2 linked regions of the Oreochromis niloticus genome follow. The protein of the gene in region 1 binds, or shares a complex with, the protein of each later gene. Links are inferred from orthologs where the notes say so. Each region holds a gene or a part of one and is shown on either strand. Other genes may lie near its edges.

Region 1 (8,550 bases):
CTTGTGAAACCAGTTGCGGTCCACGTAGGTCTTTAATTAATTGTACTTCTGTATTTTCTGATAAGTTGAGCTAATTCCAATTTACCCGCCGGGTCCTGCAAAGGTAGCCCTGGCTGAAAAAACGCTGATTATAGAACACAAGAGACTAAATCAAGAAAGCAACGAGCCAGCTGCAGCTCCTGAGCTCAACACATGCTTTGAACCTTTTGCACTTTCAGACTATCGGGACTTAAGGAATGCTACTAAATCCTTTTGGTGTTACAGTTAGGGAAGCACTGGATTCTTTTATTTGTCAAATTTATAGTCTCTCCCAGTGCAAGTGATGGCCTCATTACTCTGGTATAACACACGCAAGAGACAGATGTTGCAGTTGTTGCCACAATTAGACCACACAATCAGTACTGTGCCCTGCTCACACTGCATCAGGGATTGTTGGAACACACTTTTGTGACAAACACAGCTTGCATTAAACAATTGACCCCATTTTTTTCCTCTCTGGAGAGGCCTTTTAAATGGGCTACACTAATAATATTCTGATACATTATATGAAAAGTAACGTTATATACAGTAAATGAATAAAAGCTCACCTTACTCATAGAACATGCCCCACTTATGACATAAAATATATGGAAAGAGGGTCAGTCTCTAAACAAATTAAGAGAAGCTGAAATGCAGAAAGAAATCTGACGCAGACCCAGAAACATTGCAGCGACGGTCGTTCTGTGCCACTCATCATCCAAAACTAACCTCTGTCATTTAAAAAGGAAAAAAAAAAAGCAACATCTTTACAACTTCTAAGAGATGCAGTAAATCGTGCTTTTATGGGTAATGTGCCCATTAAAGAGTAAAAGCAATCTAAGACGTCAAGACAAATGACAGCTTTTGAGTGCCATCTGCAATCTCGAGCTTCACAAACTCAATTATTCATAATGCATTTATGAAGTCCGCTGAGACTGCACTGTCATTCCCATTCAAACTAGCGGGGAAATGCAACATAAAGGGACAAGCTCTTTGAGATGACAATGGCGTGTTCGATGGCTCTGGTGTGTTTATGGTGCCACCTGCTGGGAGACAGGCATTTCACTGGGTTTCCTTTACAGGGTGTCAAATAAACTAAACAGGCAAAAACAAAACACACACAAACACACTTTTCTGTAATTACAACTGGAACGCTTTTATTTATCAAAAGCAAAATCATTTCTCTGGTGGGCAGAGACAAACCTCCATATCAATATGATATAAATCATCAGTCTGCGATCCTTCTGAATTGCTATAATTTGTCAGTACCAGTTAGCGCAGATGCTCCAAAAAACCCCTGCTTTGTTGCCCGGGATCAATGTAAGAGTGAAAATCAGAGCGGCTGGGGGTTAACCAGGATGACATTCTCACCACGGATGAACAGCTGGTTGATGTGGCGCGTATGGACCTTACCATACGTCTTGGTTTCTTTCTTCTGGCGAGTCTGTGGACTCTGGACCATGAGCAGTGTTTTGTGTGCGTCCTTTTCGGTTTCAGCAGCTTCTGACAGCTTGGAGTCTGCTGTCCTGCCGTCTCCTCTCACACCAACGGCATGAGAACTTGCCAAAGAGACTCCAGAACTTTCTGGAGTCTCTTTGGGAGAATCTGCAGGCTGCTTCTTCACCGACTCAGCACATTCAGAGGTTTCCTGGAGACTTAGCTTCTCAAAAAGCTGGAAATACAAAGATTTGATCATTCTTAAGACTTTCATCAAACTGAACCACATAAAAGCGCTCCGAGTGCTGTGTAAGAGCTAAAGAGGGATAAATGTAAAAAGACCTTTACAATTTAAGCCAGCAATACTACTGTCAGCTCACTTGTAAGCATTTAATCAGCAAAGCACAGATAGCTTTTATTATGAAGTAGTCATTAGAAACTTCTAAATGTTTCTAGCTTTCCTTAGAAAATTGAAGGACAAAATTTTAGTCATATATAGAATGAAAACTCATCCATTACCCGTGTAGTGGTGAGGGCTTTCTCATGATAGAAAGCCTCTCCAAACAGAGGCTCTCTGTAAGTTTCATCCACATCCACCATCGCCTGTCAGCGAGAGATAACCAACGGTGAAGATACGAAATTTGCCTAGTTCAAGAATACAACATGAGATCACTGACCAGGTTCCAGAACTTGTCGAAGGCCACGACAAAGCCAGCGCACACTCCCCTCAGACCTTTGAAAGTCCTGACGTGAACTTTGACTCTTATCCTCTCCTCCACGCAGCGGTACAGCTCCCCCAGAGGACTGCCTTTACACACTGAAAACACAAGACAAGCAGGTCGCACAGCTGCTTCTGCGTATTATAATAAATGATACAGGGAATTCAGCTAAAACAGAGGTTTCTTTAAAGTAACAAGTAATGCTAAAATTATGAATAAAAATAATTTTAAAATGAATATACATATATATATATATATATATATATATATATATATATATATATATATATATATATATACATACACACACACACACATATGTATGTGTGTGTGTGTGTGTAATGTTGTAATGTGGTTTTCATTTTATTGGGGGCAAAGGGGTTAAGGGTATTCGTAAGCCACAGGTAGGAACCTAACAACCAATACTGAAGCCATTCTGCCTCTTTATTACTCCAGTAGTCCTATTTTACTGGGACATTTTATTTTATTTGTCAGTTTATTTGGAGTAGTCTGTCAGTTCGTAGTGTATTCTAATAAATACAAATGTCGTATTCTAGGCTCTCCTTTAAAGTTTAAAGCGGCTCAGTGAAACGGCCCAGGCGGGACTAGGTCTCCAACACATTACACGATGGGTGTTGAACCTACGGGGCATTCTCGTCAGGACATTTTTCACAGGTTTCTGCCTCCTCTTCCTCCGCGTCGTGCCGCTGCTGCTTTCTCCCTCCTCTGACTCAGACACCGGGTTGTTCACCATGAGTTTCTTCAGCCTCTCGATGCGCTCCAGGTCCACCACGCCTTTCATCGCCTTACGCTGCCTTTTCTCCACGTTCTCCGGTTTGGCTCTCCCGCGGCCGCCCTTCAGAAAGCTCTCGTACTCGGCCACGTTGTTGAAGCACTTGATGTTTGGGAAGGGAAGCTGCACTGCCGGTGAGTACAAGGCCAAGAGTGGATCAAACTTATCCGAGCAGACGTCCAGTTTAACTGCGCCACCGTCCTCAGCTTTACTATCAGCCTCCGGCGCTGAGGCCGGGCTGGAGCAGGGTGCTGACAACGTCTCCTTACTGTCTGAATTTACACTTCTTTTTTCCCTCTCCTCCATGTTCAAAACAACCGCAGAAGTGTATAAAGCGAGGAATTCTGGGTATTTTTTGTCGTGTTTAGCAACTGGACTACAAGTCCCATAACCTCGTATATGTACAGTATCTAGTTTAGTTTCTGTTTAGGCACAAGATGGCGCTAGAAAGCAAATTACTTTCGTAAAATCTTTAAAAATCTTTAAAAAATTATTCAGCACAGCATCCAAAAAAATTTGAAAATTGAAGCATTATTTTTAAGGTGGCTAGAAGAAACCGGAAATTATTTGCGTTTTATTTTAAGTCTACCGTAGCTCCGAAAATTTGTGTTCCGGGTGATTGTGGTTCCGCTACGACACAATTTCTGGGCGGACTGTATACAAACCAACGTGTTTGAATGTGCGGAAGAGAATTATTCTTATTATTTAGATATATTTAGTTTAGATATTAACTTATTCAATTCGAATATTGCTGTTGGTGCAATTTACCACGTAGCTATCGAAGGGCTTTCAAAAGGTTAGCTGTCTGTGTAGAAGGCTAACACCACACATGACATTCATTCGTAAATAGTAAGTAAAGTTCAATAAATAGAGAACTGACATACGTATAACACAGATCATTTTAATCATAACACTTAACATCATTTGAAGTTATTGAATTTAGTTTTGTATATCATAGTAATTGTTCTCCGTTTGACTGAATATTTTCCCACTGTTGACATATAATTTTCGCTCCTTGTGCTTTGTCTTCAGGAGCATCCCAATGCTAATTAGTACAGCGAGCAGATTTGGTGTTTGGTGCTGTGCTCTTACACCTTCGGTCCGTCTTTTCTCCAGATCCAGTAACATGGCCAAAAGTAAGTTTGAGTATGTGCGCAACTTCGAAGCAGATGACACCTGTCTGCGGAACTGCTACATTGTCGTGAGACTGGATGGTCGCAATTTTCACAAGTGAGTATTCTTCATTTGCGCTAAAACACCGGGAGCTTTTTGAATCCACATTGTTGTTTTGGCGTCTTCATGCATTATGTGTTTCAGGTTTGCAGAGCAGCACAAGTTTGCAAAGCCCAATGACGACAGGGCCTTGGGGCTGATGAGAAAGAGCGCACGCTCTGTCATGGAAGAACTGGAGGACATTGTCATTGCCTATGGCCAAAGTGATGAGTTCAGCTTTGTTTTCAAGCGATCTTCTACCTGGTTCAAAAGAAGAGCCAGGTGCTGATGTTTTACATAATGTTGATCAACAACATTTTCACACAGACCTCCTCTAGCATTTTGTCTGACTATATTTTGTCCCCTCTTTTCCTTACAGTAAGCTCATGACCCACGTCGCCTCCCAGTTCTCCTCCTCGTACGTGTTTTACTGGAAGGAGTTTTTTGAGAATCAGCCCCTCCTGTACCCTCCGGGATTTGACGGACGTGTGGTCCTATATCCAAGCAATCGTAACCTTAGAGACTACCTTAGCTGGAGGCAGGCAGACTGTAAGTGCAAATGATGCTCTGAATGGTAAATCACACATTTGGTGTGATGGAAATATGTCACTTGTGTTTCTGTTTTTTTCAGGTCACATCAATAATTTGTACAACACACTGTTTTGGATGTTAGTGCAACGAAAAGGACTCAGCACAACACAGGCAGAGGATCGCTTAAAGGTGAAACACAGTTGATTAATGTATGTTTGGGTGTAAACTGGCAGATGCAAGTGCTTATTAACAGATATAAGTGTTTGAAAAAGGTACCATATGTGGCAATGCCCACATATTTAAGGTTGTAAGCATGGATATGTTAAAGACTGTCACTTATACTCAAGGTCTTCCACACAGTATTCAAAGTGTACCATGTCCCAAATGAAGACACACTGGCTTCTACCTACCAATAGATTCCAGCAGCATGTTTTGTAGATCCATATCAGCTGATCATGTGTCAGAAAAAAACAACAGTGAATGCTCACAACTCTCAAAATGTTCCATATAAAGGATAATTGATTGCCATACTGAGTGATTTTTTTCTTTCTGGCTACAGATATGTTATGGTAGGTATAAAGCTTTTCAACTACTAGTCTCTGGACTTCTAAACAGCATCAGAAACAAGCTAGTGGTAGTGATGGCTGGTGCTGATATAGTTATGTAATATCTATTACTTGTAAATTAAAAGGTTAATTTAGGGTATTGAATATTGTCAATTAGCCACAGTAAGCAAATCTGCCCTTTTAACATTTTCCTATTTTTTCCTAGAAGGAAGGTGAGGTCACAAAACTATTAGGAAAAGGAAAACATTATTTCCCCACACACGATAGAAAACTGCCAACCAGAAACAAATAACTCACCAAACCACCACGAAGCTAGGAAACAGACGATGAGCCCCTAGTTGGCACAATATGAAAAAGGCATCCCCTTCCCCCGAGTCCCAAGTAGCCATAAGAACAAGTTTTCATTTATGTATTAGTGTTATATTTATTGAACAACAGATTTCCCAAAAATCAGAGTATAAAATGAGTGAGCCGAGACCAAAATAACAAACAAGTAGAGCTATCCATCAACACAAACTTAGATGACCTGGCAAAAAGTAATAAACCAAAATATGCTTACCTACCCGGACTGTGAAAATGAATAAATTGGTTGATTCGTTAGCTAAGAATGCCTTAATTGTAAAAATTCATCTATCAAATTTCAGTCTAAAAACAAAACACATTTTCTTCATTTAATAATATCACTTATATACTTAAACAACACTTGGCTTTAGGGGCCGATAAGGTTTCAAGGTACTATTTTTGATATTTTATCCAAGTAAACAAAGAGGTTATTTAAAAGATGTAAGCTTTCAGCTACGTCATTATGAACAATTTATTCCTGTGCATTAAAATAGTGTGTACAGGAACAGGTCTGTCACTAGCTATGACAGCTGCTACAGACTGACACAGCTGTCCTCTGGAAATCACCTCATTCTTGTGGGGGCTGTCTGGAACCAGCTGATGGGTTTTGGGTGGATGTTTAGGCAGCATGAGTTATTTATTTACACCTCATCCAACATTCATGGTTCATAATTCCTACGTAATAATAACAACAACAAATAATAACAAAAAATGACTGAGTGGTTTACTATTTATTTCTTGTTGATTTTCTTCTAGTTTTAATTCTGAAGTAAAAGGAACAGAGCCACTATATATAACCAGCGGTTTGGTGGGCGGTGGTGTTCCTGTCATGCTTTTGTTGTAGCTTTTTATAAAACTGTACTATCTAAAGACCATGTGAGGGATTGTGTATCTACACACCTAAGTTTGGATGTCTCACAGTATTTCTGCCTTTTTCAGGGAACATTGGCTGGGGATAAAAATGAGATCCTCTTCACAGAATTTGGTATCAACTACAACAATGAATCTGCCGTCCACAAGAAAGGTACCACCCTCATCTGGGAAAAGGTGAGGTGCTCAAGAAGGGTTTTAAATCTATCCCCCTATTCAGTGGGCTATCTACTAAACTCAAAGGATAGAAACAAAGAATTAATCCTATCACGCAAATATCAATACAGGCATTTGTATCAATACTATTAATATTTTGATCAGTCCGCCCACCGCCATTCATCGGGTTAGGTATGCCTCTCAGTGAAGTGCAGGGACACGCTGATCCACTCAGTGCGGTACATGTGCAGCCCTGGACATTCATGGCATGAGACCTGTTATTGCTTAATCTAATGTGCATGAACACCACGTGTCCCTGTAAGAAATTGGAGTCAGTCTGCATGGGGGTTCAGTACCTAGTTAATATGTCAGAGTTTGTTGTTGGAATTAACCAGATGAATTGCTCCACCTGCGGCAATGCACCAACAATTTTTTGTGTGAAAATAGTTAGGGCAAAACCTTTTAACAGTTTGAGGTGACGTCAGAACCTGTACATAGAAGTTTGTTGTAGTCTGGAAATTGAATCCAAGGTAAAAAAAAAAAAAAAAAAATCCTAAAAACCTGCATTCTTTAAAATAGCCAGCAGGATCAACTCTTGTGCTTGAATAAATCAATTCCCTTGTTTTGAGGTTTCTCATTCACATCATGTAGACATTGCTTAAGATTTGTCTGCCATATTGGACCAGTAGGGGAAAATGTGTATTCTTCTACTGGTTGGCAGTGGAGTACCTGGAGGTTGCTGGTTCTTCCTTGGTGAAATATTGCAAAGAAGATGCTGCACCCAAAAGCTCATAGTGATTGCTTTGGTTGCTAGCAGGTTTCCAAGGTTGCCTGCAGTTCTTCATGTTTGTCCACAAGCTTTTGCTAACTACTAGCGTAACAGTAATAACTTGAGAAAGTGTGACGCAAATTGGATAGGGGGAAGATTTGCCTTCAAAGTAAAAGTTGCAGCTTTTGAAACTTTGAAAGTCCTACCTTAACATAACACATTGTTTTATTTTTTTTTAAGTTATTCCCGAATTTGCAGTGAAATAGATGTTAAAGCAGGGTATGCATTTTAGAATGGCTGCCTTGTGATTGATATATTGCTATTGTATAGTGCAACATCAGTTTTCTTCTCAGTCACATCCACCCCTCGCTAGTCAGATCAGGATTTATAACACCAGTCAGAATGCCTCTCTCCCAAACTCAAAACAGTAGTTCACAAACCAGTGGGTCATGGGTGTGACCATATTTTATATAGTCTGTGGTTGCTTTTGCATGTTTAAGCACACTAACGGCTCACTTTTTCAAATGGTGTCTGTGTTTCTTCCTGTTAAAAGCAGTGAAGTCTGAGATTGAAACATTAAAATCACCACACTGCCTTTTTTCCCCTTTATTGGTAGTTCTGTTGTTGTGCATGAAAGAGAAATGTCAGAAGCTGCATACACTTTTTTATTGCACATGACCTCACATTGTGGATGGAGTGTAAGAGAAAAGAGTTCTGCCACTAACATCACAAGAAACCATTTTTAGAAATGTCTTTTTCATGTAATAGTAGAATTCCCTTGGTTTAATAGGACATTTATTTACACAGTTAGATGCTTATTGGTTGTGCCCCTGAAAGGGAAATTTAAACTCACACAAAAAAACAAAGAAAAGGACAGAAGAGATTTTCATAGGATCAAATGTATACATAAATAACAAAGTATAGCTCACTGTAATGTGTAGTGTGTCAGGCTGCTACTTGCTGTGGCACCGGATGTAGATCTGACACTAACTGCAGGAAATGCTGCTTACATAGAAATTTAAGTTAGGTTGCATCACTCTGCACCAGCTCCTCTGAGGTTTTTTTTTAAATGCACTCAAAACCAAATCTCACAAAATGATTTTACCAGGTTTAGGTACCGGACTGATTGCTTATCTA
Region 2 (8,204 bases), on another chromosome or scaffold:
ACAACATCCACAAGGGTATCAGATCTGCGCTTTGGCCCATATGTGTCTTGAGTGTGCCAAAGTGACCATATCAAAAGACTTCAAAGCAGCCATTTCAAAAGTCTTTCACTAATTTCTTTGGATTATTTCGTTAACAATGAAAAATAAGCACAAAAAAGACCAAAATATAAACTTTGTTTGTCTTTGTTGAATCAGAAAAGCACCTCCTGTCACTGTACCACGTATCCCTTTACTTCTACAATGTGATATTTTTACATGAGTGCTGATTAAAAGCATGTGCTGTATGCATCATTCATGCAAACTAATACACACTTTATTAATGTCTTTAGACAGTCTGCCATTGTTTGTCAGATTCTCAGTGTCTTTATCACATATTTGATTCTAATTCAAGTTTAGACATTATAAGCAGAATGAATTTCTACTGTCAATGTTTATACACTGAGCCTGGTTTCACATCTGCCACTTCATTAACGGCACTAGATGTGGCCTGGTGGTCTGATGCAGCTCTGAAGTCACCGCCAAAAGGCTGACCTATCCCAACTTTCAATTTTCTTAAAAAAATGTGTCCACAATCCAGAGTGTCGCCATCTGTTTCCTGTTTTCAAAGGATATTTGACTGTCGCGGCAGAGAAGTGAGACGAAGGGAGTTCCCCTCTGGAGGGAGTTACACCAGCTCCATCAGAGAGGGGTCTTTCGAGCTGCATGGAAACAGAGTGATCAGACTGGGCATGAACATGTATGTAAATATGCTGCTGGACACTAGATGGTGAACACACACACTGATGAACCTGTGGGTGACACTGCTGTGTTTCGTGACTTAAAGGTACACTGTGGACCATCCAGAGGAGACACACACGTCCAGGGCTCCCTCTGTAAAGGTAATAACATGTCAGGGAGGTCACGGATTTCATTTTACAGTTATGGTTGGTGATATATAAAATATAACTTAATATTTTCCTGAACTACACCTGAGCTCTTGCTGTTGTGAAACCATGAAATGATGTTTAAGCAATAATAGCAAATCATATCATGTGGAGTTTTTTTCCTACAAGGTGATATTTACTTTTGATAGTGGTGTTTAAAGGATGCTCAGGTGGCGCCAAGGGGCTCAAAGTGTGCTGAGAAAAATATCCACCGCGCGGTTGCACCACTTTCACACACACACTTTTCCACTAGTATCTAGTACTGTCCGCTAACCTGATGCTTCCTAGTGTTTTTTGGAGACAGAAGTGACCATTTTTGGATCAGATGGTGGGGCACCAAGTTAGCTAAGGTTATCTAGCTGCAGCAATAAACCCAAAAAACAGACGTATACGTGATATATCAATATATTATTATATGTTATTTACACCAAAGGAACCCAACATACATTTGTTATGGAGTGGGAAACTGTCCATGTGCCTCCAAATCACTTTTTATACCAGGCTGTGAACATGCATTTAAATGCTGTAAATTTGGATATTTTTTAATGGAGGTCTGCAGGGATTCACTCATTTTTGCAGCTTGCCTCAAGTGGCCACTCAAGGAACTTTAGTTTGTTTTGTATTTCTGTGTTGGCTTTGTATATTAGCTCCAGAAATTCCTGCTTGCCTGGACATTGATGCACAGTAAATGCTGGTAAATGCTGTTATGGCAGTGGCCCGTTCCCTGTGGTTTGCACATGCTGTTCTTTATTGACACACTTTTTGCAAATACACTTAAACTCACCTCACTTGCCCCGCTGTTCAAAACGTCTCACTGCTGTAGGCTCATCATTGTGTGTCTGTCTACAGCCTCACACCTTCTATAAAAGAAGAGCTTAATTGGGTGTGTAAGACAGGTGTGCCCAAACCACACTACTGTGGTTTCCTGTCTTCTTCAGCTGAGCCAGGAAACCACACCTCAGTGCTACTGTTGTACAAAGAGAAGATGGCAATCAGATTAATGAAGTCAAAAATAATAAATAATAGTGTTTCTCAGTAACTGTGAATGTTTGTGTCTGTTTATACTATCACCATGTCAACATTAAACGGCTGGTTAGACAGCGTAATGTTTAATTAGTCAATATTAACATTAATAATGTTTGAAACCTTGCTAAGTTGTAATAGAGCATTTTATGCAAAGTAATAAAACTCAGCTATGCAGCACCACCAGCGCATTTATCCTTCCCCTGATAGTAAGAGCTCAGATGTGCCCCCTTAAGCAGAAATACATCTTGTATACATGCAAAACTTCTTCAGTTTTGCATGTATACTTGTATACAAGTATACATGAAAAAGTATTTGCTCCTTTCCTGAACCATTATCCACAAATAGAGAAAACTTGGAACAGTTGTGAAACTTCCCAGGAGCGCATTAATTGCAAAAGGACTCCAGAACCACATCTAAAGAACTGCAGGGCTCGCTTGTTTCAGAGTGGACCAAACTGGCATCCATGAGAGAAAAAAAAAAACGCTGACCAAAAAGAACACGCAGGCTCTTCTCACATTTGCCAAAAACATCTTGATAATGAGAAAGAAGCTGAAATTTTTTTAAGGTTTGCATGCCGTTACATCTGGTGTAAAACTAACAGCATTTTATTAAAAGGAACATCATGCCAACAGTCAGACATGGTGGTGGTAGCGTGATGGTCTGAGGGAGCTTTGCTGGATGATTTGCCAAAACTGGTGGAACCGTGAATTCTGATTTCTACAAAAAAAACCTGAAGGAGACTCTCCAGCTATCATTTCTTGCCCTGAACCTTAAACAGGCTGTTCTTTCTTGAAAATCCTCCAGTTCGGCTGAATTAAAAACATCTCTGTAAGGAGGAAGATTGGGCCAAAATTCCTCCACAGGGACGTGAAAGAGTCATTTTCAATCAAACGCTTGATTGTAGTTCTTGCTGCCAACAGAGGTGCCACCAGTTATTGGGTTTAGGGGGAATTTTCAGAGGGCCAGGTAGCATTGGAGAATGTTTTTCCATTAATAAATTATATAATTTAAAAACTGCATCTTGTATTTAGTCTGGTTCTCTTTCTCTATTATTAAAATTTGTTTGATGACCTGAAACATATAAGTATAGTAATTATAAAAAAAGATCAGAAAGGGGGGAAATACTTTTTTCACAGCTCTGTTATAACCTGCCTCTGCACCTCCATCGTGCTGCAGACAGACGGCTCTCCCAACCCGCTGGCGAAGGAGGAGCTGAACCTGCTGGCTCGTCTAATGGGCAGCATGAAGACGGAGAACAAGCCCAAAGATGAATCGGGTTTTCGAATCAACCTGTTTAACACAGACGAGGAGGAGGAGGAAGCGTGGGTGTTCTTCTTTTCTATTTTCATTCCCTGTTGTTACATTAACATAAATTCCCTCATCAAGGCCTTTTTATCTTGTTTCACAGAGGAGCGTCAGCTAGTGCTGAGGAATCCTTGTATGGAGTGATAAATATTCAAGCAATGCAGGTACGATCATGCAGACTGTGCTGGGGTATTTCAGTGAACTAAAACTAAACCACAGTCAAGAAAACAGTTTAGTTTGACTTAAAAAAAGGCAACTGCTGAGCACGTGAACAAACCTAACAATATAAACAGAAAATCTGGCAAAAAAAGTGTGTTAGTGTGAGTGTCTGGCTACTCTCTGGACTGTTGTTATGGCTGCCATGTCTCTCTTAAAACATCTGTGATGAACTTAATCCAAGTTTTTGGTTCAGGATGAGCAGGCGGCATTGGAGTTGGCTCGCATCGCTGGACAGTTTGCAGAAGAAAAAGAAGAGAAACCTGAAAAACCCAGCAACAACAAGGGAGAAGAGCTCCTGGCCATGATGGACGACCTCTGACTCATTTATTCAGTCTGTGGTTGTATGATGATCGGATGGTTAATCTCCACTGTGAGCTGGAGATGGAGTATTCAATGAAACAGATGCAAGAACTCAACATTATAACACAGACACAATAGACAGAAACTGCTTTCTATGTTTATAATGCAGCTGAACTGACTTGGATGTTAAACTGTAACACCTGCTGTGTTTGAGGTTTTATTTTCTTTTTAACAATTTAATGTTAAATAAAAGTATTTATTTATATTGAAATGATTAGGCTGGCTCGTGTTTACATGCTGTAAAACAAAATGAGTTGCAAATGTTGCTGGGAAGAAATTAAATGAAAAGGATTGATCAAATTTTTAAATAAGACATCTAATTGGACACGACCTTGGACTCATATTTATGTGATTTTTGAGAGGAACAAGTACTAATTTAAATAACCTATAAATTATTATTTGGATAATGAAAATAAATGTTCATTGAGACGATTTCGTTTCTGCAGCAGCAACCTGTAGGGGGTGCTGTTGTCTTGGCTTTGTAAGAAAAGAACAATCTCATGAAGGTTTCTTTGATTCGGAGCCTTTGCTCTTTGTTTATCCGGCTTTTTATTTATTTATTTTTTAATACTTATATTTTAAATATGACAACTAGTACTGTATGAATCCAATAAGGTGCAGTGAATTACAAAAAGGGAACAGAGCAGTGAGTATAAACGTTCATGTTGGCATAAGATCATTGAGCATCATCCTTTCAGCAAGGTGTACTATTAAATAAAAGAGTCATACACGCATACAATGGCAATGGTGGGAAAAACAGTTTAGAATATCGTATGATTTTTCCTTTAAGTAGTTTTGAAGATTTTATGTATAACTTGAATTTATCCAAAAACAAAACAAACAAAAACACCAATTTAAACACATTTAAGATTAACATTTTTAATGTATTTGTTTTGTGTGGGTTTATATGGGGAATTTTATGATGTTCTAAATCTGTCAGTAGAATTTTCGCTTAATTAATAAAATTTTACACTCCAGCGAGCAAATTTGTTAATATATACTTTGCTGAAAAAAAATCCAGCATATATGTGAAAAATAATGTTGCTGTGATGACGCAGGGAAACCTGTTGTCGGGTTCCTCATTTATGTCCTGGATTACACTGTATTAAAGCTAGTTGTGAATAAAGTTTTTTTTTTGTTTTTTTTTCTAAACGGTTGACGCAAAGACGATGGTGAAACGTCATCACGTCGCTGCTCCTCCGTCGGGTTTTTGTGGGAAAACGAACCTGTTGACATGTTTTGAGAGGTTTCTGCAGGCCGGTGTTTCGTTTCCACATAAAAACTGTGTTTAAATAATTCAGGTAAATGTTACAGACAACAGCGGAGGGAGAAGCTTTGATTTACACTCATGTTTTACGCATTTTGGAGCTTTATTTAGTCGCTGCTAAAGCTAAGGAAACGCTAAAAAAGAAAAGCTAACAGAGAAGACTAACTTTAAGCCTGCAGACACAAACGTAAGCGTCATGTTACACGTGTTTTTAGGTTTTCTGTAGGTTAAGTTAAAGTTAAGATTACACTGCACTATATGACACTATATCTTCTGTATTATCATTTGTATTCGGTTGTAATGTGCATATTCTGGGGTTAATTTGAAAGCCAAACATGAAAGTGTTTTTGGACCATTAAAGAAAATGCGGTAAAGAGGTATGATAGTCACAAGAAGCAAAACAGACTACGTGTGTCTGAATGAGAAGCTGATGTGACAGTGAGGCAGGAGGGGGCTGACGTGGGTTGGATATGTGCAGAGGAGGGATGGTGGCTATATTGGACAAAAGATGCTGAATATGGAGCTGCCAGGCAGGCGGAAAAGTGGAAGACCTCAAAGGATTCATGTGGTGAAGGAGGACATGCTGATAGTTGGTGGTGACGGGGATAGGATTAGATGAAGGCAGGTTAGCAGTGATAGTGAGCTGCTGAAAAAAAGGAGAAGTAGTAGTTGTTTTGACAATTAGGATTACCATTAATTGTCTTTACGTCAGGTTAGCTCGTATTGATCCCGATTTTTAATAAGTGACAGAGGGATAAAATTATTTTGTTTTTTCCTCAGAACTTGTAACAGTTTCCAGAGTTACATTGGATCATCTCTCCAGCAGATAAAGAAAATAAGACTGGAAACATTTAATCTCACTTCATTCTTTTTATGTGTTTTTTTGTGAGCTCCATTAAAAAAAAATGCAGTAAGAAAGTATCTAAGACAGCCTTTTTGTGGTCCCTACATTGCAGTTTCAGTAGAGCCCCATTAACCGCCTAAGAGGCTCTAACGTCAATGCAGTCAGATTGTCTGGGCATGCTGCTCTTTTCCTAAGTCCTTAGAAATTCTTCTTCCTTGACCTTATTTTCAATCAGAGAAGTGATTAAGAAAAGATGGAGGGAGGGAATTTTTTTTAACAATTTGACCACAGCCTCTGAGTCGTCTGACCTTTATTAAATCCAGGTTTGGTTTGTGACATATGAGATAAATCGCATTTAAGCTGTGCAGGACATTTTCTATTTGACATGTTCCTGTGTTTTCTCATTTTCGGATTCTAATATTCTGTCCACAAAGTGTGCAAGTTTTTGCTCATTTTTGCTTTATTGCTTCAAGGTCAGAATCAGTAAACCACAGAAACAAGTCTCAGGTACCAACACTGTATGACAGACTCTAATCCAAAGTTATCAATCTTCTGCTTTTCTGCAGGTGTCTATGGATCCTATGGAGTCCAAGGGGGCTGAGTCTCAGCCATCCACCGTGGGGCCGGTTGAGGTGGTGAACTCTATTCGGGAGCGAACAATCACAGAGAACAGCATGGTGATCCTCCTGCAGGGCCTTCAGGGAGAGGTGACCACAGTGGACCTGAGGAACGAGAGCACAGCCCGTGGACGCGTGGTCAACGTAGATGCCTTCATGAACATACGCCTAGAGGACGTGTTGTACCGGGACCGGCGGGGTCAGCTCACACAGCTGCAGGACCTATTCATCACTGGCAGGAACATCCGCTATGTCCACATCCCCGACCATATGGACATAATGAAGACCATAGAGAGCCAGCTGGCCAAGATTCACCGCGTACGCAACTTCGGCAGTGAAGGCGGAGGCAGGAAAGAGTTTGCCAAGAAAACAAAATGACTTTTTTTTTTTTTTAAATTTGGAAAAGACGCTGCTTGTGTAAGGTTCAGAGATTAGAGGACAAACACCAGTCTAGACCAGTAGTTTACATCTTGAGGGCCCACAAAGTGACTCCAGGGAGAAGAACAGGGAGAGAGATCTCAGGTACAGTAAGACATAGTTACAGTCCTCCTTTTCGTTGTAAAATACTGGAAACTGTCTTTAGTGCTATAAAAACTGAACTGCTTCGAACCTGGGATGAAAGACCACAATCTGGGTTTGATTTCTTGTAAGGATCACAAACTCGAAAGGCTGGAGTATTTGGAGGCTGATATCAGTAAATTGTTTAAATGTTTAAAAATAAAACTCCACAGACTGATTTTTTTCCTACGTAAACACTGTAACAATTCTTTTTAATACATTGCGGATTATTTCTTGGATTAATTGATGCATTTTCCTTGAATCAACTCAAAGAAGCTCTTTGTTATGTCTTTTTTTATCTCAACCAAACTATTTTGGGGGATTTTTAAATGAGACATGATGAAAATGGTAAAAAAAACAAAAAAAACAAACATCAAATCCATCTGAAAATAAAGTGAAATCTTTTTGAATATAATTATAACAACTAAGGTATAGATCCTCTTTTGCACAAAGGGTTTAACTTAAATGACGCCACAGCTTCTCTCATATTTTGCTGACTTAGAAACAGTGAAGAGCACTGTTTCTGCATTCTCTATGCTTATTCTCTTAAGCATAGAGAATACCATAAAGCAGTCACTTTTTGTGCCTTTTAAGGTGCACCTCCTCATATTTGTACTAAATAGCAAAAATACAGAATATCATACATTTCTCCTAATTTTTATAGTATTTTCTACACCTCATTTGCAGAATCTGGACACCTACATTTTTTGGTGTGTTCCCACTTTATTGTGACACTTTCCTGCAGCCTAACAACAATCTTCCTGTCTCTGGTTCTGAGCGTAGACTGTATATAGAAGGTGGATGTAGCTATTATAACACCAGTGAGATACAGCTGCCTGTGACACACCTGTCAATGCAAGCAGCCATGCTTTTAACTCACTAGACAGATCAGCTAAAACAAAGGTCACTTCCACACTGTTGTTATAAAGGAGGAAATTTAAACATGGGGGTGTTATGAGATTTGACTCGCTTTTGGAGCAACTAGAGGCTCCATTTTTCCACTGCCGGAGGTTGCAGCTTGTTTATTTTGGCCCCCTACTTCTTTTTTTTAAGTAGGTTTCCCTTTAGCGGGATTTAAGCATTAG

Evidence for each region.
Region 2: lsm11 (region 1) and lsm10 share a complex: the UniProt entries of both Homo sapiens proteins name them as parts of the heptameric ring U7 snRNP complex. The link is inferred for Oreochromis niloticus from reciprocal best matches to the Homo sapiens genes LSM11 and LSM10.

What each region holds. Positions count from the first base shown.
Region 1 is NC_031966.2:29,730,945-29,739,494, reverse strand, and holds lsm11 (U7 snRNA-associated Sm-like protein LSm11), read right to left. Parts: upstream 3,347-8,550; 5' UTR 3,274-3,346; coding exon 2,820-3,273; intron 2,273-2,819; coding exon 2,133-2,272; intron 2,059-2,132; coding exon 1,975-2,058; intron 1,691-1,974; coding exon 1,352-1,690; 3' UTR 1,149-1,351; downstream 1-1,148. Other genes in the region: thg1l (putative tRNA(His) guanylyltransferase), read left to right, coding at 4,010-4,197, 4,285-4,461, 4,559-4,728, 4,811-4,899, 6,558-6,665. UniProt on the Homo sapiens protein: Component of the U7 snRNP complex that is involved in the histone 3'-end pre-mRNA processing. Increases U7 snRNA levels but not histone 3'-end pre-mRNA processing activity, when overexpressed. Required for cell cycle progression from G1 to S phases.
Region 2 is NC_031985.2:13,742,882-13,751,085, forward strand, and holds lsm10 (U7 snRNA-associated Sm-like protein LSm10), read left to right. Parts: upstream 1-4,993; 5' UTR 4,994-5,287; intron 5,288-6,510; 5' UTR 6,511-6,516; coding exon 6,517-6,939; 3' UTR 6,940-8,126; downstream 8,127-8,204. Other genes in the region: protein OSCP1a, read left to right, coding at 608-736, 824-878, 3,126-3,271, 3,358-3,418, 3,667-3,792. UniProt on the Homo sapiens protein: Appears to function in the U7 snRNP complex that is involved in histone 3'-end processing. Increases U7 snRNA levels but not histone 3'-end pre-mRNA processing activity, when overexpressed. Required for cell cycle progression from G1 to S phases.